3 linked regions of the Neurospora crassa OR74A genome follow. The protein of the gene in region 1 interacts with the protein of each later gene in a pairwise test. Links are inferred from orthologs where the notes say so. Each region holds a gene or a part of one and is shown on either strand. Other genes may lie near its edges.

What was found.
Region 2: the proteins of prd-6 (region 1) and NCU08663 interact in a two-hybrid assay, tested with the Saccharomyces cerevisiae proteins (2 studies listed by BioGRID). The link is inferred for Neurospora crassa OR74A from reciprocal best matches to the Saccharomyces cerevisiae genes NAM7 and NMD3.
Region 3: the proteins of prd-6 (region 1) and NCU06540 interact in a two-hybrid assay, tested with the Saccharomyces cerevisiae proteins (2 studies listed by BioGRID, with this or other methods). The link is inferred for Neurospora crassa OR74A from reciprocal best matches to the Saccharomyces cerevisiae genes NAM7 and PAT1.

What each region holds. Positions count from the first base shown.
Region 1 is NC_026505.1:5,327,013-5,330,147, forward strand, and holds the end of prd-6 (ATP-dependent helicase NAM7), read right to left. Parts: coding exon 1,772-3,135; 3' UTR 525-1,771; downstream 1-524. UniProt on the Saccharomyces cerevisiae protein: RNA-dependent helicase required for nonsense-mediated decay (NMD) of aberrant mRNAs containing premature stop codons and modulates the expression level of normal mRNAs. Also capable of unwinding double-stranded DNA and translocating on single-stranded DNA.
Region 2 is NC_026504.1:4,180,268-4,184,018, reverse strand, and holds NCU08663 (60S ribosomal export protein NMD3), read right to left. Parts: upstream 2,253-3,751; 5' UTR 1,986-2,252; coding exon 1,924-1,985; intron 1,863-1,923; coding exon 365-1,862; 3' UTR 54-364; downstream 1-53. Other genes in the region: NCU08664 (tetratricopeptide repeat protein 1), read right to left, coding at 2,651-3,391, 3,470-3,589. UniProt on the Saccharomyces cerevisiae protein: Acts as an adapter for the XPO1/CRM1-mediated export of the 60S ribosomal subunit. Unlikely to play a significant role in nonsense-mediated mRNA decay (NMD).
Region 3 is NC_026504.1:1,578,493-1,582,243, forward strand, and holds the start of NCU06540 (topisomerase II associated protein), read right to left. Parts: upstream 2,407-3,751; 5' UTR 2,050-2,406; intron 1,618-2,049; 5' UTR 1,571-1,617; coding exon 1-1,570. UniProt on the Saccharomyces cerevisiae protein: Activator of decapping that functions as a general and active mechanism of translational repression and required for P-body formation. First decay factor recruited to mRNA, at a time when the mRNA is still associated with translation factors.

The sequences.
Region 1 (3,135 bases):
AAGTTCTTCGATTCGAAGTAAGTGGGTGGGTGGGTGCATTGACCGCCACGCCAAAGACAAGACAACAGCTGTCCTGGGGACACGCTCTTTCAAGTCCGGCTAATTGAGCCGGTTCCTTATGTTGTGACCACCCCCATATAAAAAGTTGACGAAGAAAAAATCACAATAATTCACCGAAGAGGAGGATGATGCAAGCAGCATATGTGGCTGCATGAGATGGGATGAGATGGGATGGATGATACAAAGGTCAAAGAGGAAGCAAAACAGAGATACCAATTGGCTAGTAAAGAGAGAGAGAAAGAGGGAGAGAGAAACGTAAAGCAGGTACGAAAACAAGAGTACATAAGCTTCTAGAGTAAAGAATCACTTGTAGTAATATACATAATACCACGTTCTTGGAAAGAACAAAAATCGTCAGCTCATGATAGAGGGTTTTCAGTCTTCACAATGGTTGGGCAACTCGGTCAACAACCGTCATACACAACATTCACCCATCTTCGTGTCACGGAGAAAATTACTAAAACCAGCGGGAAACGAAGTTCAAATAAGCTATCTGAATAAGTAGGTAGGTACCCATGATACGTTTCCAGATTCCCAGTGTAAGTATATGTGAATAGCTATGACCGTTCACACCTACTCCTCTTGCGTTACCCTCTCTCTATCTGATAATTTCCAACGCTGTTTCTTTCTTTTTCTCTTGCCTTTCTTTTTTTTTGATTTTCTTGTTTTTCCTTTCTTGTCCATGTTGAGACTCCTCCCATCTCTCTTTTCTGTTTGAAAACTATCTCTACCCCATCTCTGGTCATAAAATAATGAGTGACTTTGGTTAGGAAGTCCAGAGGGACGAATATCAACTAACTATCAAACGCAGTGCTCACTGGATTTGTCCAGGCTTATCAACCGACAACTTCTCTTTTAAGGAGGGTATGGGATTGAGTGAGCCTGGACGAGTGAGCCTGGACGAGTGAGTCCCAGTGAAGCACGCTTGAAAACGAAGTGAAAAAAGACTAACTCAGGCTGGCTGGTGGTACGTGAAAGCTTAAGACTGGATGGAGTGAGCGTATCGGTGTAAACCAACCACTCTCTGCGTTGATTGACTTGCAGGCTTTGCCGTTTCATTCGGTCATCATTCTACCACGAAAGAAGATATCCAACTCTCCACCTGCCCGGAAGCAACAGATCGAGTGGTGACTTCTTCCTGGGTAGATCGCATTTGACCAGGCGCTTCCGCAACCATGCAAATTCGACCGCCAGCTAACCCAACGTTTTTCCCCCAATACCAAGTGTGGGTCGACCTCATCCGGCTCCGTACATCCGAACGATGACAAAACCCTCCTTGGATACCCGTCCGTTGCTTGAGTCCGTATGCACGTCTGATTTGATGTGCAACCTTAGACGAAGGTGTGTGAAGATGCCTTGTTCCCGTATGCTTGGGGTTCAGCTTGCACGAGACTATTGCGCAGAGGGTATGTAGGCTGATCATCCACACCTTGAAGAAGCCTATGTGAAGGATTGGCTTTCAGAGAGCAGCAACAACTCCTTGCAGCTTCAGTTGGGCGAATCCAAGCTGGAGAAGGGTAAGTTGTCTTCTGCCCGCCAGCCCGAAGGCTATCGGTAGCGTGTCAACAGAATAAGTCTGTCGTGCTCACCAAGTGACACATAATAGGTCCATATGCTATACCGCCGTTTAGGTTCAAGAGAACTATAAGCATTGTGTCGTGCGCTTCCACGAGAGGAAGAGGGAGACCAACAACGCCTAGGATCTAATGGCTCAATCGAAACCTGTCCCGATCTGACTGGCAAAAGCAGTGCTGACGCTCTTCTCGTCGTCATCGTAACGGCGGTATCCGTTGCCGACTCCCATACGACCATTGCTTTCGACATACTGCTTAAGGCGATCGCTCTGGCTGTAAGAAGTAGGGCGGGCTGATCCGATGGCCTCGCTAAGGCCAGCACCGAGACTCGCGCCGCCCTGTCCGATACCCTTGCCGCCGATGACACTGGAAGTGGCATCAGTGAACTCGCTGTTGGCGACGCTCTCGCCTGCGATGCTCTCTGTCGCACGACCACGGCCCTTGGCGCCTGGGCGTCCGTTGGGACCAGCACACGGCAAACCAGCCCACGCCTCAGGGTGGAAGTTCGAGAACATGGCAGGGTAACCAGAGCTCAAAGCAGCACCTCCCAGGGCGGAGCTGTGGATGGAGGAGACATCATCCGGGATGTACGAGACCATAGAACCAGTCTCATAATCCCTGACGGAGCCGGCAGTCAAGGGAGCAGCGAACCGGCCATTAGAGGGACCGCTGGCAACATGTTGAGTGTGGCTGCGTTGCGGCCGGTAGGCCTGGCGAGGTCTGCCAAACTGCAAGAGGGAAGGCTGGAGGTTTGTGAGGGGACCTTCGACGAGACACTTCTTGTCTTTGAAGTGGACGAGAAGGTGGTGCCAGAGCTCATGCTTGCAGAGAACCTTGGGGTTACCAATAATCACCAGACCGTACTTGGCACGGGTGAGGGCGACATTGAGACGACGGGGATCCGAAAGGAAACCGATGCCTTGGTTCTCGTTGGAGCGAACGCAGGACAGCACAATGAAATCCTTCTCTCGACCCTGGAAGGCATCAACGGAAGCGACTTCAACTTCCCTGTAGGATTCCTTCTTGAACGTGCCAGTGTTCTGCATGGTATTGACAATGTAGCTGCGCTGACCCTCGTACGGCGTAATGACACCGATGTCAGCAGGCTTGACACCAGCCTTGAAGAAGCGTGTGACAATCTTCTCGACATTGGCAGCCTCAGTCCGGTTGAGGTACGATGTGCCCGAGGCCGATATTTCCTCGTTGCCCAAGTTGGACCAGAACATCATGGGAGTCTCAGGGACCGGCCAGGGAAAATCAACATCCTTGCGAAGTCTCTCGGCGGCAGTGACGCCGTTTTGCAACGATCCTTCGTAAAACATATTGGAGGGGAACTCAGAGAGGCAAGGATGCATACGATACTGGACCTTCAAGCGAATGGGGGTAAACTGAAGCTTGACCAACCTCTCGAAGAGCGACTGGTTAAGGCCAGCCTTGGCGGCCTTCTTGTTCATAATGACAGGGCCAAGCTGCTTGTGGTCACCAACCAGGACAACCTGCT
Region 2 (3,751 bases), on another chromosome or scaffold:
TTCATAATTGATGATGACCGAAGGCGACAAGATAAAACAGACGGATGGAAAACATTTTGAGCAGATGTGTAACACTAGGCCTTGACTGACCAAGATCATCGTACATGACAAGTTGCACATCTTCGTTGATTTAGTACTTTGACGGTCGTAGCATCCTTTCAACCACGTCTATGCATTCACAACTATAAAGACAACAGAATGTTGGATGCAGAGGGCGCCAACACGGCAAGCCCATTCCCGAATCTATTCATGAAATGCCTTAAAAACGCAAACCCTGAAGAACAGCTAACTCCCAGAATTTTGATTTACCCCGAATCCCAAAGCCATTCACATCCACATATCAGACTCCAATCAAGATCACATCCTACTCCTTATCCTGAATCTCCATTTCCTCAAAGTCATCGAGGAGCTCGTCCATGCTGATCTTGGGGCCATCCTCCTCAGCCTCCGTCATCATGTCGGTATCGGCAATGCTCATGGCATCCGCCTCCCTCTTGGTCTTGAGCGAGTTCTTGTACAGAGCAAGAGCAGCACGAAGCTCCTCGTCCTCCTCGACATCGCGCAAGAACATCTCGTACTCGGCATCCATCTTGGCCTGGTCCGAAGCCTTGGGCAGCAGCTCGCCCTCGTCCTTGGCCATGCGCTTGAGCTTCCAGTTTCTCTTTCTGTTGCGGCGGCGGTTCGGGTAGTGCTTCTTGACGAGAACAACGTCAGGGATCATGGAACCGTACGCCTTGGAGCTCTCAATCGCCTCGAGCGCGTCCGAGTTGAAGTTGGTACCCTCGAGCATGTAACCCAGCACCGAGTCACCGGCGTGGAGATGCTGGCCGAGATGTGTGCGAGTGAAGTAGACGTTGTCGTTCACGCCGAGATCGGAGGCACGAGCGACCTGGACCTCGGAGAGAAGCCACTTTCCTTTTCGTACGCCTGTGGACTCGATGTCCATAACGATAAACTCAACAAGATCGGGAGTGCCGGCAAGCGGATGGAAGGGAGCACGCCAGTAGATATCGGCGCTGACTTCGGCGGTCTGGAGGGTGTTGGGGTCGAGAAGGTTGACAGATGTTCCTATCCTGTGGCAAAGGACAAGGGGAGAAATGTTGCCAATGGACTTGGCGAGTTTGAGAGGAAGGGCAACCAAATCGTCTCTGCAAACAGGCACGATTTCGACGGAGTAGTTGTACTTGTACGACTTGTTGCCGGTGTGTGTATCCGCGGAAATAAGATGCCTCGACTCCTTGGTGAGAACTGGTACGACGGACTTCAGGAAGCTGATGAATCCCTCGGCCTGGTTCTTCTGGGCAAAGTAGAAATCGATACCGTCCTTCTCTTCCTTGATGTTGATTGTGTCGCGATGGGCCTGGTGCCTGAGAATGAGCTGTTCGAGGAAAAGGAACGTCCTCTTGTGGGTGACCTTTTGGCGGACCTGTACGGCGGCGCGCCAGACGTTGGCTGTGTATGACTTGGCGCAGTCCTTGCACTGCTGGCTGGCGACGACGTAAGTGACCTCGAAGCTTTGCTGCATCAACACACCATCCGCCACCTGATCCTGAACCGTAACCTGAACCTTGACTCTTCGCGAATGGGGTTCTGTCCAAATGAACCTGGCGTCTGTGATGCGGACCTTGCCCAAATTCCTCAGTTTCTTCAAGCATAGCGACAACAACTCTCTCGATTCGGGGGCGGCTGTGACCCAGCTGGCGGGGGGTAGGAGCCATCTGTCGCAATCTTTGCAGAAGTGGAGGGTGGCCTCGCGCTGGATGCCCTGGGAGATATCGACGGTGGACTTGATGCAGTCGTAGCAAAGAGCGCCGGCGGAGGATGTGCCATCGATGGGAGCGCCGCAGTTGCAGCAGAGAATGCTATTGGTGGTGTCAGCAATCATGCCTTCGATAACCTTCAGTCTTCATGGTCAAAACTCACGTAGCACCTGTCCTGGCAGAGCCCATCAACGGGGCCATGGCCATAGGAGCGTCGAGATCCATGATTAATGAAGTTGTGGTTTGCGACAAGATATGAATCGGGGTATCAATTGTAAAAACAAACAAAAGTCGCTATGTCGTGAAAAGGAAAACCTGGGAGTTCCGTCGCAATCACAAGTGAAGTTGCTGCGGATGAGAAAGAAGTTGACGACTGGAAATTTGAATGGACCAGGACGAGAACGAGTCGCTGGGGGGGAACGTTGGAGGCGCTGACGGGACGGTCGTCAATAAATTTCTTGATGGGCCCAGCACCAAATCGCCCCGCGCTGCATTGATAAGCAATTCGTTATCGGCTATCGGCTACCGTGGGTACTTAGAGGTATTAGCACAAGCCAGTGCAGCAGTACGTACAATTGTGGCGTTCTACTGCCGGCTTTGCCACACCAATAAATCAGCCTCAAAACTTATGGAGCTTTAGCTCCGGCCAGCTGTATTGCAGCTGTCGGGTACGAGCTCCTGATCATCTCCCCCCCTTGTCGATCTGTTGACATTGAACTGTCGATTCGTGTTGACTACTGGTCGATAATATTTTCAGGTGACTGGAAAATCAGCTTTCCCAGTCAGAGGTGCATATGGCTGGGTGACTGGACTATCAAGAAGCCATTCATCCTCAACCACGACGCTGGTAGGCATCGCAAGAGCCCTGACCCTCATTAACTTTCACAACATTACTTTTTGCCTTCGCCACCACCTCCCTGGAAATTCATGCTGTAACCACCGGTCTTCTCATCCTTCACCATCTTGAAATGGTCAGTGCTAAGACCAAACGGCTTAAGCAACCCATTCCCAAGGTCCTTCAACTTGCCCCACATTTCAGCAGTCTCCTTCTCCTGAGCAGCCTTGGCCCGGGGCGGCAGTGCTCTGAGTTGCGCCTGGACGAGCTTTCGGTCGGTAGCCGTAAGGTTGGTCATGGCAGATAGCTTCTTGTAATCCTCGATAGCCCCCTCGAGGGTGGACCATCCACCCAGCTCGCTCCTTGCCCGGGCCCGGCGTAGCAGAGCTTTGGCCCGTATCCTGGCAATATCCTCTAGTCGCTTTTGGCGGGCAATCTGCGCTTCAGTTTCCGTGACAGGAACGGCGGGTCCGGCCTTTGCTGCACCAGCGCTGACAATCTCCTCTTCGACATCTTCCTTCTCCTTCTCTTCCTTCTCGGCAGCCAGCTTGTCCTCCCGCTCTAGCTTGTCAAGCAAGTCCAGAGCTTTGGTTGCGTGCGTGATGGCATCCTTCCAAGCTTCCAGCATGAGGTGACAGGCGGCCACGTTGGAGCGCAAGACGGCCAAGGGGTAGTCCAGGTAGTTTGGACAAACAGCAATGGCTTCGTCATATTTGTTGAGGGCGGCATCGTATTTGCCCGAGGTGAAGAGGGCGTTTGCCTCTGCTTTGTGTGTGTTGGACTCAGCTACCAATTCCTGCTGAGGCGGTCAGTCACAGAGGTTTGGGCATCAAGAGGGTCTTTGTTGTTGTTGCTTTTGGTCGTGGGTACTTGCAGCCTCTTCTTCAGGTGAGAATTTGATATCGGCCTGCTTGGATTCATCATTTTCTTCCTCTGCTTGAGGATCCTTGACCTTCTTCTGCTCAAGCTTGTCATCAGGAGTTTTGGAACTCATTTTCAAGGCAGGTTTGTTTAAAGTGCTACAAGGTTGCCGGTATCGGAATGGTAGTATCTTTTCAGTAGCTCGGAGTGAAAGCTGGAAGGAGGTCTGTAGAAGGAAGGCGTTTTGCGGATGAGATAATGGGACATGCGAGATAAGAAGCCGCGCGCGGACGGA
Region 3 (3,751 bases), on another chromosome or scaffold:
CATTAACAGGATGCGGTGCCTTCTTCACATCGCTGGCGCTGTCGTTACGCTTGATGTTGAGAAGCGGCTTCGGGGTCTTGGCGTTGCTGAAGGAAATCTTGCCCAAGCTACCTTCAATAACAAGCTGCTTATTCTTGGGCTTGTTCTTGGCCGCCTCAACAGCACGCTGGACCTGTTGTTCCATCCTCTGCATATGGTTTTCAGGACCCCTGTTATGGCGGCGCATACCTCCTTGACGGCTTCCTGTCTGAAACAGATAAGTCTGAGCGAACTGGTTCAGAGGCTGGCTGGGGTGCTGGCGATGGCCAGCCTGGATCTGACTATGGACTTGATAGTAAAAGTCCTCGGCGAGTGACTCGTCTGTGCCGTGTTCATTGGGATTTCCAGTGGCTGCGACAAGCTGCTGAAGCTGGATCCGGGTGATGAAATTCTTGTCCTGTGGCGTCATGATACCATTGTCGCGAGACATTTGGAAGATCTTGTGGTTGCGCTTGGCGCGCTTAGCTTCCTGTTCAAGATACGCAGCCTTTTCCTCCTCCGAGAGCTGAGCCAGCTGGGCAGGATGAAGAATCATAGGGGGCTGTCGCGGAAGAGAGCCTTGTTGCCTGTGGCCCTGGTGAGCGGACTGAGGACCGGACGGAGGCGTAGGGTGAACAGGCAGCCCGATCTTAGCCGCGTCGCCTGAAAGACGGTTGGGGTTCTGCAGGATCTGAGTAGGCTGCTGAGGAACAGCGGGTTGCTGATGCTGTTGAATAGCGGGCGGTTGGGAAGAGGGCTGGGCTGGCGTAGGAGGCTTCGAGTGAGGCCGCTGAAGAATTGTCATGGGATGTCCCTGCGGTTGATGGTACAGAGGTTCAACGACACCGGCTTGGAAGTGAGCCTGCGGCTGGTTCTGAGCTTGGTGCTGGTAGAGGTAAGCCTGTTCATGTGGAATTTGATGGGGCTGATGCTGAGGAGCGGGAGATGGGGTGGCCGCCTTAGCCTGGGCGCGCATCTGAGCCTCAACCTCCTCAAGACTCAGCATCTTGCGGCCCCCAGACGGCGCGCTAGGGACGGCAGGTTGAGCAGGCGGCGGCGGTTGCTTCTTGGGTGCGACACCCCAGAGAGCAGCGTCAACCTGAAGATCCTCGATCGGCTGCTCGTGGTATTTTTCGTAGCCGGTCCTGGCAGGTCTAACTGGAGCCTGCGCGAAATAGTTGTACGAGGGTCCGGCGATGGGCGTATAGGCCGATGGCTGCGCGACAGGCTGGGGAGCCTTGGCAGCTGGTTGTTGGCGGTTGAAACGAACATTTTCCTCTTCAATGACGTTCGCGACCTTGGCGGTGTGGCCAAAGAAGTCAAAGTCTTTGCCTACAGGACCCGGCTCGCCAGTATCGCCGCCAAAAGTATCATCATTGAAGGCATCGTCGGTCTCATCCAGCTGGTCACCCAAGCCGTCATAAGTGTCCTCGAAGTCGATCTCTTCGGCTTCCTCGTCCCGGTTGGCTAGGCTGGCAAAGGGATCGTGAGCCTGGGAGAAGCCGGGAGCGGCGGTATTATGGCGAGACTGGTCGAAGTTGAAGAAAGACATATTGGCGATGCCTGTTGGGTTTATGGAAAATTTCTACAGAGGTATCACTATTGTAGGGTCAGTATACGTTGAGCGAAGAAAGATCGTTGCGGCGCAAATCCGGGTGCGATGTTGAGCTTTGGCTGATTGGCAAGGGCACAGAGGAAAATGAGGGGCAAAGCAAAAGACGAGACCCTGGTTGGTGAGTGGGACGAGAAGTATAAAGAAGGAACAGCCGTGACGCAGGTTCACGAAGTTCTGGGTGGAAGGGGAAACAGGAAGGGCTTGAAGGTCCAGTGGTCAAACAGCCCGAGCCAAGCAGAGGGGCGACTCGATGGATGTTCCACCTAGCTGGGGGTGGTGAGCTGTCTCTTGAAGCGCGGGGCAACAACAACGACATGGAAGATGGAGAATTGGGACATGGGAGCCCAACTTTCATCCCATGACCTTGCCATACCGAGGTTGCAAGCACGCTGTAGAGAAATCAAAGAACAACGTACAGAACGATATGTAAAGATGTTGGTATGATCGGTTTGGTCAAGCACCATGATGCTGCGATGCGCGACGTGAAGGGAAAGGAGACGTGTCGACGGCGGTGCGACTCGTGCAAAGGAGCGGAGCAGAGCTTGTCAGGGCGGCAACAAATACTCAGCGCTCGGCTTGGAAATATTAAAACAGAGAAGCAAAGAAGGCTGTGAACTAACGACCGGAAGCGCAACTGGGTGCGCCGCGGTGAAGATGTGGATGCGGTTGCTCGGAGTGGTAGCTTGATGGCAGCGCAAAAGGCGACAAGAGACCGACGCAGATGGATGAAGTCAGGCCAACTCCAACTCAGAAGCCAGATCAGGGAGCTGTGGACCAATCGCCCCCGAGGGCCAATGGAGCCTGGCAACAGGTGGGCGGGCGGCGGTAGGCCTGACGCTTTGACACACCACCCTCCTGTCTTGCCGTTCGTTGACTGACGATGGGACTTCCAAGGCCGCGGCCGGGGGAGTGATTGCCACGGTTGGGCGGCAACCAGAGGCCCATTGCCTGCCGGGCTGTGGGATCCTCAACCGCCGGCAAGAATGTCCATTCCATCCTTCCAGTCTTGCAAGTTGTTTTATCCGATGAGCCAATCGGCGATACCCGCCCGCTAGTTGTGATGCGTAACAGTGATCAACTGGAGGCTACAACATGAGACCCGGACGGGACGGCAACCTCATGGTCAACATTTAACGCCAAGCCGACAACCAAATTTCAAGCTCGAGATATCGATTTTGGCAAGAAAGCTGAAGGGCAAGGACAGTAGCTCAGGCATCCATTTTGCTGCCGTGACATCCGTGACTAAACGCAGCTGTTTAGACTGTGCTTCTAAGTATGTGAATTCGCCATTCCGATGCAGGTGAAGCGGAAGCGCGGACATGGACAGAGGCAAACATGGCATGGCTATCTTAAGGCTGTTTTCTTGACAGGTGACTTTACTGTACATAGTATGCAGTCGAACTTGAATTATATCAGGGGCCTGGTATTTCCCTGTTGTTTCTTTTGAGAGGGAGGTATCATGGCCATCACTCAAGTCGGTGTTCTTCGCCATCTTGAAGAACTACTCCGATCGGAGGAGCAATGCGGAGGGAGCAGGCCGGCAGCAGATCATATTAACCCAAGTATCATAGTATGAGCTAATCAGCCACTTCTCAGCGTGGTAAAAGGATCAAGAAGCTCAAGACATACCCCTCCGTTGACGGATGCGACATGTGAACTGAAGTCGTCGTAGAGGTAGGTAGTGCCCCTGGAAGTTGACGACGCCCGTCTCAAGGGGGTTTTTGTCCCTTACTAACAGGGCCACGCTAGAACCGTCACGGCCCGCAATAATGGGGTACCTGCGGATACAGGTGACGACGAAGCTGTGGGGGCACCGAGGGCACCCTAATGTCTTTCCCTGCCGCCTACCCCCGCGGCCAATCTTTTGGTCCTGGCCGGACGGAAACATTGAGGTGCTCAGGGGAATGCACCGCAAGCGACCATCAGGAACGGGGAATGCGATAGCTTCTGGTAGGTATGTAGATATTATTTAGGCCACTTGCGGACGTTGCTGAGGATGTTGTAGGTAGATACCGACACTTTTGGGATGTTTTCATTACAGGCTAGTTCGCACCTAACTACCTCTAAAGAGGCCGAAACATGAACAGCACTTGAGATACCAGCATCTCCATGCTAGAC